Saccharomyces cerevisiae S288C: one gene and its partner. The gene in region 2 interacts genetically with the main gene of each other region. Each region holds a gene or a part of one and is shown on either strand. Other genes may lie near its edges. The genes, in order: ATG2 and PYK2.

Evidence for each region.
Region 1: of PYK2 (region 2) and ATG2, changing one suppresses a phenotype caused by changing the other (phenotypic suppression), as found in Saccharomyces cerevisiae (one study listed by BioGRID).

The regions. Positions count from the first base shown.
Region 1 is NC_001146.8:189,470-196,680, reverse strand, and holds ATG2 (Atg2p), read right to left. Parts: upstream 5,358-7,211; coding exon 579-5,357; downstream 1-578. Other genes in the region: ZWF1 (glucose-6-phosphate dehydrogenase), read left to right, coding at 1-255; SLA2 (Sla2p), read right to left, coding at 5,724-7,211. UniProt on the Saccharomyces cerevisiae protein: Lipid transfer protein required for autophagosome completion and peroxisome degradation. Tethers the edge of the isolation membrane (IM) to the endoplasmic reticulum (ER) and mediates direct lipid transfer from ER to IM for IM expansion.
Region 2 is NC_001147.6:984,135-988,321, forward strand, and holds PYK2 (pyruvate kinase PYK2), read right to left. Parts: upstream 2,329-4,187; coding exon 808-2,328; downstream 1-807. Other genes in the region: REV1 (deoxycytidyl transferase), read left to right, coding at 1-651; proline permease PUT4, read right to left, coding at 2,765-4,187. UniProt on the Saccharomyces cerevisiae protein: May be used by cells under conditions in which the level of glycolytic flux is very low.

The DNA of each region.
Region 1 (7,211 bases), on a different chromosome or scaffold from region 2:
TTGATAAGAGACGCCCTACTGGGTGACCATTCCAACTTTGTCAGAGATGACGAATTGGATATCAGTTGGGGCATATTCACCCCATTACTGAAGCACATAGAGCGTCCGGACGGTCCAACACCGGAAATTTACCCCTACGGATCAAGAGGTCCAAAGGGATTGAAGGAATATATGCAAAAACACAAGTATGTTATGCCCGAAAAGCACCCTTACGCTTGGCCCGTGACTAAGCCAGAAGATACGAAGGATAATTAGAAAAATGCAAGCACATTCATTTATCGGCTAAGTCACTGAAATTTTTTTTTTCGAGTGATTTTATCTTGCAAGCTCACTCTCTTTGTTCTTTTCTCCTCTATAATGGCATCTTCCCCCCACCAACTCCTCTCTACTTGCGTGTGTATTTGTTTGTATACATGTGTAAATATATATACATAAAAGAATGTCGTCTCATGTATTTTTTAACTTTTAGCCGCGGTCAGTGACATTTTGGCTTTCCCACCATTCCACGTCTGAAAAAAAAAAAAAAAAAAGAGATAAAATATGAATTGAATATATATCAAAAATGTCTGCAAAAATTTTTACGAATCAGTCCGATTGGACTTGTACTTATCATTGATTTGCTCGTTATGCGTCTTATCCACTTGATTAGCTATTCCCTGTAAAGTCTTAGACACTGCCTCAGTGGCCCCAATTAACGGCCGAATAATTGCCACAGGTGCAGCTCTAGCAACATAAACTGCTGCGGCGCTCGGCCCTCCCCGTTTATCATCCTTCATCTGTCCCTTTGCCCTCCATACCGCATCGTACGCAATATGCATATGCTTTTCTAATGAACTATACGCCTCCTTCAAACCCGTGGGCAGGTCGAGGGGCTGATCTGCGTACAGACTCACTATTGTGGGTTCGTTGTGATCTCCCGGTGAAGACATATCGATGACTACTGCCGTGGGCTCATGATCTCTTATCCTGGAATATTTACTACCAACTAACTGATCCTCCTCGAATAAAGTATCCAAGTCTAATACAGCTGCAGTATCACTGTCTGCACCATCAGCGGAGCCAAATTTCGATGCATCGTACACCCTGCCATTGGAACCAACACCACCGAATAGTTCCTCGGTGTTCTCCAATATCGCCTGTGTCCCTGAAGTTAATTTAACTCCCAATTTCACAAAATCTCCCGTTGTCGTTTTCAAGAAGACATTGCCACCCTTTTTCAGACTCCTTCCCAAATGCCCTTCTTGCCTGTATTCTGACATTAGTACTGTGACTAGGGTCTTCACCCCTGACCCAATCGCCATAAACGATCTGACAGGAGCCAGTCCTTCCAAAACGCCAGGCAGCTGCTTTTTGGTAATATCCGGCGTCCAAATGGCTTTCAGTTTATTATTTAATTCATCGAATCCATTTAATCCATACAGGACTACGCTTTTCAAAATAATCTTGGATCCATCAAGGGTAAAAAAATTCATCAATTCAGAAGTTTGGCCCGATCTTAAACCCGCATAATCAACTTTTTTCGGCTTATAATCTAATCTTAACTTAATTGAATTAGTGCTAAATTTTTGAATAAATACAATATCTGGATACTCATCAATTAATTCAAATCTTTTATCTTTGAACCCTAAGAACCTTATTAGAAACTCTAAAGTGTCTTGATCCACGTGAAGGCGTAAAGGCGCAACATTTAATTGCATGACTAATTCCACTGCTTGCAAAAAGTCGATCGGCCGGATAAATTCCAGGTCCAGAAGAAACATCGGAGAACTGTGTGGCCACGGTTCGTGCTTTAGCAAAGTTACAAATTTATTCCAGGTGGACGTGGGAACATTATCGATAATTTCAAATTCGTAAATGGAAACTACACATCGGTTCAAAACATCTGTGGAATTATCAGAGTTAGACTCATCGGGTTCATCTACTCGATAATTCTTCAAATTGACATGTACTTTGTTCAATTGAATCAGGGCTTTGTAATGCTTAGAAGGTCGCAAATTAACTTTAGAGACATCAGAGAAGGAATTCTGAACCCCCTGGATCTCACCATCAAGATTTCTTCTCAAATCTGTGACATTGTTTTTGTTAGCAGATATATAAATAGAGTCAAAAATATTTGCCTCTGATTGGGGTACATTTGATTTCGAACTGCTTGCTTCCGCTTTACTGAGCTCTTTATCCAGTTTTTCAACAGTATTAGCGATAAATTTCCGCGTATATTTCCAATCATACCCATCGAATAGTTTTATAACAACTTTTTCGACATCTATACTACCCCTTATATCCACATCCCTTTCTTGCTCTTTTGAGGCGATTGGTGGAGTATCTTCTTCTTTTGGCTGAGCAGAGTCTAGATAACTCTCATGGGGAAGTAAAATACCACCTGTGGCAGTTCCAGAGGAACTGTCCATTTCATATGAACCTTGAGAGGATAGTTTACTTCTGGCACCATTGTTGAACTCGTGAGTTTTGTCGAGAAAACTGTCTACCAAATGCACTGAGTCGTAATCATTTTGATGATTGTTCTCCCGGATGAAGGCAGAATTGAAAAGATCACAATCGATGTCTTTGAATACATCGATAGGATTTTTCAACTGCGTTCTAAATTTTTCCTCATCAGGAAACGTCTGAGGATATTTTAAATCAATACAAAGCTGACAAAAAGTTTGAAAAGAATCCGCGCATAATGAAAGACCAACTTGTTCTATTTTACAATCCAATAAAAGGGCACCATCGGATTTGTTTATTAAAAAATTCAAAGTATCTATTTTACCGATTGCAGAGAAACCTTGACCAGCATAAAAATTTATCAAACTAGGCCAGTTCTTATCTTTTTGAATTTTGAAATTCTGATAGTCATCTATTAGGAAGAGTGTATTCGCCTTTGAAAGAAGCTTTGCCTGCGGAATAAATGAACTTCCACCAGTTGTTAGATTGTCAAGTACAATGACCATTACACTTTTTAATCTGAAAGGGTGCAGAATTAGAGAGCAGTCCAGACATTTGAGTTCCCAGGGAAATCCTGAAGTCGGTTGTTTTTTACTAAGCTTTTGTGAAACAGGTTCATCTTTTGAACTGGCATTATCCGGGCCGATGTTTTTCTTTAGTATTTCTAACCACCTTGCATAGTAATGTATGCGAATGTTGTTAAAAATGACTTTTAACTTTCCATTCGCCCTTCTATGAACATATAGTACAGGTTCGTTAACTGCTTTATTCAAAACTACTGACATGATTTCTTGTGGCTCTAATAATGACGGTGTCTTTCTTTCTACCTTTAAGTTCTTTGTAAAATATACAATTTGAGAGTCATCCGTAATCGCAAAGAAATTATTTGATAGTAATGCTTCCACAGAACCAAATTGCGGCCCTATAATTTCTGATACTTTTAACTTCATGGAATCTATCTTGAGAGAAAAATTAGCGGATAAACTCTGCTTGTAAACGAACCTGGAAGAATTAAGTACTCTGACACTTCTCTGCAAAAAGGAGCCTCTCTTGCTTTTAGACTTTCCTGTACATTCACTGTTCTTTGAATCCGTGAAAAGTTTTCCAAACGCAGAAATATCTTCGACTAATTGTACTATTCCAGAATATTCTTCGTTAAATATCACTTCTTTGATGATTGCATGGACAGAACTATAAATTAGCGCTTCTTTCAAAGTATCGTCATATGAACCCAGTTGTAGAGGGGATTGCAAGTTCGAGATCGTAATGCTCGACATTGTCAATATTTTCGTGCACCGAGAAGGTAGTTTTTTAAATACGTCTACAAGCTCAATGTACAACTCACGGTTAGAGTCGTAAATGAAGGGTGAAACCTGGAAACATAATAAAAAATATGGAAACTTAAGCGACAACTTCACTGCTTTTGAGGTAAGTTGTACGGTCCTTTTAGTATCCGATGCTATTTGAGGCATCATCCCTTTTGACTTATTCTGATAAAAGGACATACATTTTGAAACAAACTGAAAGATTTTAAAGAAATGCGCAATGCCATCATGACTGATAATAATATCTAGTTCGTCGCCCATATTTAATGCGATGCTTTGAGGGGTTTGTTCTCCAGTGAGCAATGGCTTAGTTTTATGGCTAATTGTCAATGGACTCGAATTAGAATAAAATGAGCCTAAAGAAAATGCCAATGAATTATTTTCCTTTTGCTCTAATTTAAAGCTCTTCAAAATTACTGTGATATCTTGGCCTAAGTTTAAGTATATACATTTGATATCAACAGAAGAAAGAGCTGATGGTTCCTGCTTGTCAGGTGAAGGACTTTGGGAATCCTGGCAAGAAAAGCTTTCATTGGCATCCAAATGTGTAACAATGATATCTATAATATTCTTCAAAGTGGAGTTTTTGATTTCGACAATTTTGTGTATCGCTAAATGAACATCCTGAATATCAATAACAATATTAGACATTCTGAGATCATTGACCGATGATAAACCCTTAAAAGCTATGTTCAAATTATTTATTTCCATTAAAGATTCCTTGCACTTATCATTCTCTTGTTCTTCTTGTGTAACTTGGGGTTCACTGGGGTCTTCATTTGATTGCTCTTCCATGGCGCTCATATAAAGTGAAGTAGCCTCCATTTTTGATAAATAAACGCTTTGTGACAGATCGTCATTATTGAAAGGATGCACAGGAGAGTCGGGTACAGCTTGTTTTTGTATTGAGGAAATGGTGATATTTTCAATGTTTATATGTCGTAAATTTGCGTCTGTAGTAATAAGTTGTATGCTTTCTAGATGAACCTCCACAATGTTATCGGAAGGATCTCTATCATTCACTATGAAACGTATGGTAACGTCCTTTAATGCTATTTTCAATTTCGCTAAGGCTACATTAAGGGCCTTGTTCCGCATATTTTGAAGAGTATAAGAACCATTTGCGGCTGGTTTTGAAGCTTCTATATTAGAGTTGAGATCACTACTACTGTCTGAAGAGCTAATGTCATCTTCTTTGTACCTATTATATGTGGTCAATGGATCACTAAATTGTAACATCGAATTCGTAAGATCTTGGATGCTTTTAACCAAAAAATCTGAGTGAAGTTCCTGTGAGCCACTGGAATATAAAGGTGTCATGATAAATCTTAAACCAGACCCATCGATTTCCACACCGCCAGAAACTGTTAATTTTAACACAAGCTCGTCAACTATGCCTTCGTTTATTTGCACGTTTGGAATGTTGAGATCATCAAGTGACAGATTCACATCATGGAACGAGAAATGTGACTTAGACCCTATAGAAACGTCCAAGTTAGATAAATCTATATTGGAGAACAGCGAAATTTGCTGAAGGACGTAAAGAAGCAGCCGCTTTTGTATATTTTGAGGTAACCAAAATGCCATTGTATCGAAATCAAAAAAAAAAAGGGTTCCTCTTAATTTGCTTTAATCTTTATGCTTTCCTTATTTTAAACGGCAGTAGAAATTTTGTATGAATGGTGAGTTGAAATAAAGTCGCAAAGATTACAATAGAAGCAAAATGGTAGACTCCTACAGAGATGTGATATGATAATAAGGGTGGGGTGTCTGTTCTTTGTTCCTTGCATATTCATTATCGCGATTATTTCCATTCGCCGCACCAAAAAAAGAAAAAATGTCCCCGGACGAGAACGCATATACCAATCAGATACAGAAAAACGTAAAAGACGTCTTCAAATAAATATATTTATATTAACGTTTATCTTTATATATAAAAAGTACAATTCATGATCAATCATCATCCTGGTTATAGTAGGCATGCCTTCTTATCTCGCCCAATCTCTTCCTGGCATTGCTCAAGGATTGTTCTAACTTCAAAATTTCCACTTGCTGTTCCATTTCGGCAGTCTTCAATGTGTGTTCGGATGTGAAGTCCAATGGTTGCTGCTGTTGCGAAGTCGAATGATCATCTTCAATCATACCCATGACGTGGTTACCCAAACTTCTGCATGCATCGGTAACATCTTTGGAACAGTGTTCCAATTTATCTTGGGCCTTCGAGTGGATGGAAGTTTTCACTCTCGATGCTGCTACCAATTGTATTGTGGATGCGGCCACTTCTTTGGAGGCGACGATAAATTGTTCAGGTGATGTGTTTTCATTGTCTTCAGAAGTGATTAACTTACTAGCAGTAGTGATTAAAACATTGGTTGCACCTGCCACAGCCTTTGCCGCGGAGATCAAACCTTCTGTCCATCTGCTGTTTTTCAAGTAGAATTGGTTCAGAGGAATACTTGTCGTGGTGGCAATTTCATTTTGGCACTGAATAGCAGCCTTTACCAAAGCCACAACAGCATCAATAATCATTAATGCCAATGACAACAATGGTTTAGGAACGTCAACACGTAAGTGTTCTGAGGATTTGACAATTTTGTCAGCAGTGGCAACCAATTCAGAATGTGGGTTCGTTTCTTTATTTGATTTGACAGATTGTATGTTCAATAACGGTTCGATAGCCAAAGATAGCTCTTGCAACTTCTCTTGCATGTCCACGTTGGCATTGATGACGATATCAGTTTTCTCCTCATCACCGACCTGGTTAAGATTTTCAGACATCAAATCCTCGAAGAAATATTGGGCCTCTCTGGCACATCTCTTCACCAGGGTCAAAATTTGATCAGACTGTTCTTGAGGTAATGTAGTAACGGCGTACGCCTTTGAATTGGTCACCAGTGTAGCCATCGAAGTACTGAAATCACTAACGCAGTGTATGACCTCTGTTTGGTCGCCGTGTGCAAGGCCGTCTACTATCAAATTATTGAAACTGGTGGCAAACTCAGTGGCGTTTTCAGAAGTACTTTCCAATAAGGACAAAAGGAAAGTGGGTGGAGTCAGCGGACCCGACCAACTCAAAGGAGAATCGAGATTATAGACCGATTCCTGGATGGTGTTGATACCGCTTTCCAATATGGCATCCAGAATAGGGTTCATTTTATCCTGAGTCATTGTTTCTGCTGCTGCTGTCGCCGCTGCACTGTCCGCCTCTGCATTATTAATGGATCTTTCTAATTCTAACCTTGCCCTGTCACGGTCCTTAACCAACTCGGCCATTTGCAAATCCTTTTGCTTCAATTTGTGTTCTAACTGTTCCTTTTTCTGAATGGATTCCTGCGCACTATTCACCTTTAACTGCAGTTTTTTAAAACGAGGTAAAAGATTTAGATGCTCTTGACGCAACTGGGAGTATAGCTTGGCTAAAGACTCATATTTTCTTTCCCA
Region 2 (4,187 bases):
GACATTAACAACGAGTTCGAGAAAAGAAATTATAAGAGAAAAGAATCCGGGTTGACTTCAAACTCATTGAGCTCTAAAAAAAAAGGATTTGCCATTTCCAGATTAGAAGTAAATGATTTGCCCAGTACTATGGAAGAACAGTTTATGAATGAACTACCAACCCAAATTCGAGCAGAAGTAAGGCACGACTTGAGAATTCAGAAAAAAATCCAACAGACAAAGTTAGGAAACCTACAAGAAAAGATAAAAAGGAGAGAAGAGAGCCTACAGAACGAGAAAAATCATTTCATGGGCCAAAATAGTATATTCCAGCCGATCAAATTCCAAAATCTGACACGGTTCAAAAAAATTTGTCAATTAGTGAAACAATGGGTTGCCGAAACTTTAGGTGATGGAGGGCCGCATGAAAAAGATGTTAAATTATTCGTGAAATATTTGATTAAACTTTGCGATTCTAATAGAGTCCATTTAGTTCTTCATTTATCAAACCTAATATCAAGGGAATTAAATCTCTGCGCCTTTTTAAATCAGGATCATTCAGGCTTCCAAACGTGGGAAAGAATTTTACTCAATGATATAATTCCACTTTTAAACAGAAATAAACATACTTACCAGACTGTGCGTAAACTTGACATGGACTTTGAAGTTTGAATTAAAAAAAAAAAAACATTTCAGCATACAGTAAACACGCAGTTTGCGAACATTACCTGTAATATCTGCATGATTATTACCAAAGAAAAAAAAAATAACTGACACAATGGACAATTAAATAAAATTAAGTAAAAAAAATAAGGACTTTAATTTTTACTAGAATTCTTGACCAACAGTAGAAATGCGTAAGGTATTGGAATGGCCGACTCCTCCTTTGAATCCTTGAATGGAAACAACAGTATCACCGTTGTCCACCATTCCGAAAGACCTCGCCATTTCAACACCAAACTTTAGGCGCCTATGAACATCCTCACCCCAGTCGTCTAGGCGTTTCGGTTCATACAGAAATGGGAAAACACCTCTATACAAATGCGCAATTCTTGCCGTTCTTGCGTGTCTTGTTACTAATATGATAGGGCAGCTTGGTCTATACTTCGACAGTAGCCTTGCCGTGTTCCCTGTAGTAGATAATACAACGATGGCCTTACCATCTTGCTCCAAGATTGCTGCGGTAGCTGCAGCTGCTACAGTTTCCGTAGTGGAAGTAGGTTTGGGAGTGGCGTCTCTGAGATCGTCATAAAGAGCCAAATGAGCGATAGTACTTTCAGCAATCAGAGCGGTCGCCGCCATAATATTAACTGCATTCACCGGATAATCACCCTTCGCCGTTTCTCCAGAAAGCATAACACAATCAGCACCATCCAACACAGCGTTACCCACATCCGATACTTCAGCCCTTGTCGGTCTCGGATTGTGTGTCATTGAATCCAGCATCTGAGTCGCGCAAATGACAGGTTTGCCCGCCAAATTACATTTTGCAATCAGCTTTTTTTGAATGGCTAATACTTCAGGTGCCAGGATTTCAATTCCTAAATCGCCTCTCGCTATCATAACACCATCCGTGACTTCCAGGATTTCGTCAAAATTATCCAACCCTTGCTGGTTTTCTATCTTGGATATAATCTTGATATCTTGCCCTTCAGAACCCAACGCTTTTCTGATAGACAACACATCTTCTGAAGTTCTTATGAAAGAGGCAAATACGATGTGAATGCCATTGCGGACTCCGAATTGCAAGTCCTTCATGTCTTTGGCGGACAAGGGGGGCAAATCAACGTCGGTATTAGGCAGATTAACACCTTTATGAGATGCGATATAACCCGAGTTTACCGCTTGCACCCTTAAATTAGATTCGTCAATGATTTGGAGCACTTTAAAAGAGAGAATCCCGTCGTCCACGTATATAAATCTCCCCGGAACGATAACTTTTGTCAGGTTAGCATAGTCTATATACATGATTTTATCATTGGAGGTGTTTGCAAAACTTGCGTCAGTGGTAAAGATCATTTGGTGGTCTACGGGGATATAAAGATCTTGGTCATTTAACGTGCGACCTGTTCTGATCTCGGGACCCTTGGTATCCAGGGCAATGGCGAGCGGCCTGCCAGGGAATTGCTGTTCCGATTTCACAGCATTTTCGATTACTGATTGATGGAATTCGTAGGAGCCATGGGAAAAGTTCAATCGAATGATGTTCAAACCAGCTTTTCTCAGAGCAGTAATGGCCTCGCAGCTATTTGTCTTGGGCCCAATGGTACCTATTATGGAGGTGCGTCTGAGCTGCTGCGGAGTTCCTATTTTCAAATTAGCTAGTCTCTGCAATCTGGACTCTGGCATCGATAGTGCTTTTGTTGTAATCTTACAATGGACGTAGAGGATGAAAGTAAAATATAGTTGCGTTTCACCGCTCTGCTTCAAAATGTTTTATGTTCTTTGTTTTCTTTCTCCATTTATATAAACGTGTGCATATTAATGATATATCATTTTCTCTAAAAAGTTATGACACTTTACCCCTGTTTCCTATGCTGCGTCGCTAAATAAAAGCGACGAGAAAGAAAAAAGGAAACCAAAAGGAAGAAAAAAAAAGTAAAAGAGAAAAACACGTGTGGAGAACTTTTCATTGACTTTTTACAAATCTCTTGTATGTAAGAATACGCCAGCATTCATTTTATACTTTTATATATGTGTTTTTACTTCCATCCATCGCGGCGAAGGAGAAAGATTTTTCGAATATTAGTATCGTGAGAGATATCGGAATATGTTCATAAAAGCGTTACAACAAGGCGTCCAAGAACTTGTCTTTGAAACCGGTGGGGGGTAATCTCATCTCCTCAATTTCTCTTGATTTCTCCTCGATCTCGACTAACCCTGTAGTAACATCGATCTCGGACACAGGGAGCCACCATTGTCTCCACGTCCGAGTATACAGCTTATGGCCGAACCACAAAACCAGGAAGATGGGTAGGGTGATGTAGGCAGCAATGAAATCTGCTACTCTCCAGTACTTAGGGATGAAAATGGCATACCCGTTGGTAATGGTGATGATGCCTATAACAATGAGAGAGAACCACACGGTGTAAGGCTGTCCCCACGTCTTGAAAGGCAATCTGTCGTAGAGGCCATTGTAGAAAATAGCCTTGCGGAATCTCAGGTACGCGATGCAGCCGCACATCCAGCCCAGAAACCCGGAAATGGTGCTGATATTGGAAAACCAATTAAACACGTCTGCCGTGGATGAAGACACGTTCAGATATGCCAAACAAGAACACAAGAAGGAAACACCCACAGCCACGTATGGAACACCCCATTTGTTGATTCTGCCCAAACATTTGGGTGCCTGTCCCGTTTGCGCCATGGTCAACAGTGATCTCGTGCTCGCAAACATAAACGCATTGGCGGCAGACCACGCGCTGGTCAAGATACACCCATTGATAATGTGGGGAAGAACCTTAATCCCGGCGTTTTGAATTCCGATCACAAAGGGTGACGAGCCGGCTCCCGGTTTGCCCTGCGCCAGCGCATTTACCAATGTTGGGTCATTGTATGGAACAATAACGGAGATGGCCAGCGTCCCCAGAACGTAGAAGAAGATCAGTCTCCATACAAAGCGGCGCGAAGCCTTAGCGATATTTCTACGCTGGTCCGCGCATTCCGCGGAAGTCATGCACACCAGTTCCGGACCAAGAATGAAGGCGAAGGCGCCCTTGATAATCCCAGTGTAGATATCTGTGAAGTTACCCAGCGATCCGCCCGTGAGGTGATGCGCAAAAGCGCCCGGATGTTGCCAGTATCTGAAGCCAAGACGGTCATGGTTGGGGCCACCACCCCAAAACAAAATAAAGGACAGAATGATCAGTCCCACAATGCATAATATCTTGATAGACGCGAACCAAAACTCGGATTCGCCGTACACTTTGACCGCGGAAAAGTTTAGTATAACAACCACGCATAGAAAGATCGTGATCCAAACGCCCTTGGGAACCGCGGTGGTCCAGTATTCGACCACACCGGATGCCGCCGTACACTCGGCGGCCACTAAAATGACGTAGCAGTAGAAGTAATTCCACCCAGTGGCGAAGCCCAACGAAGGGTCAACGTACCTAGTGACCAGATTGGCCGTCGACCCGGCACTGTCAGAACCATCACCGGGCAAAAAGCACACCATTTCGCCCAGCGCGCACATGATCGGGTAGATC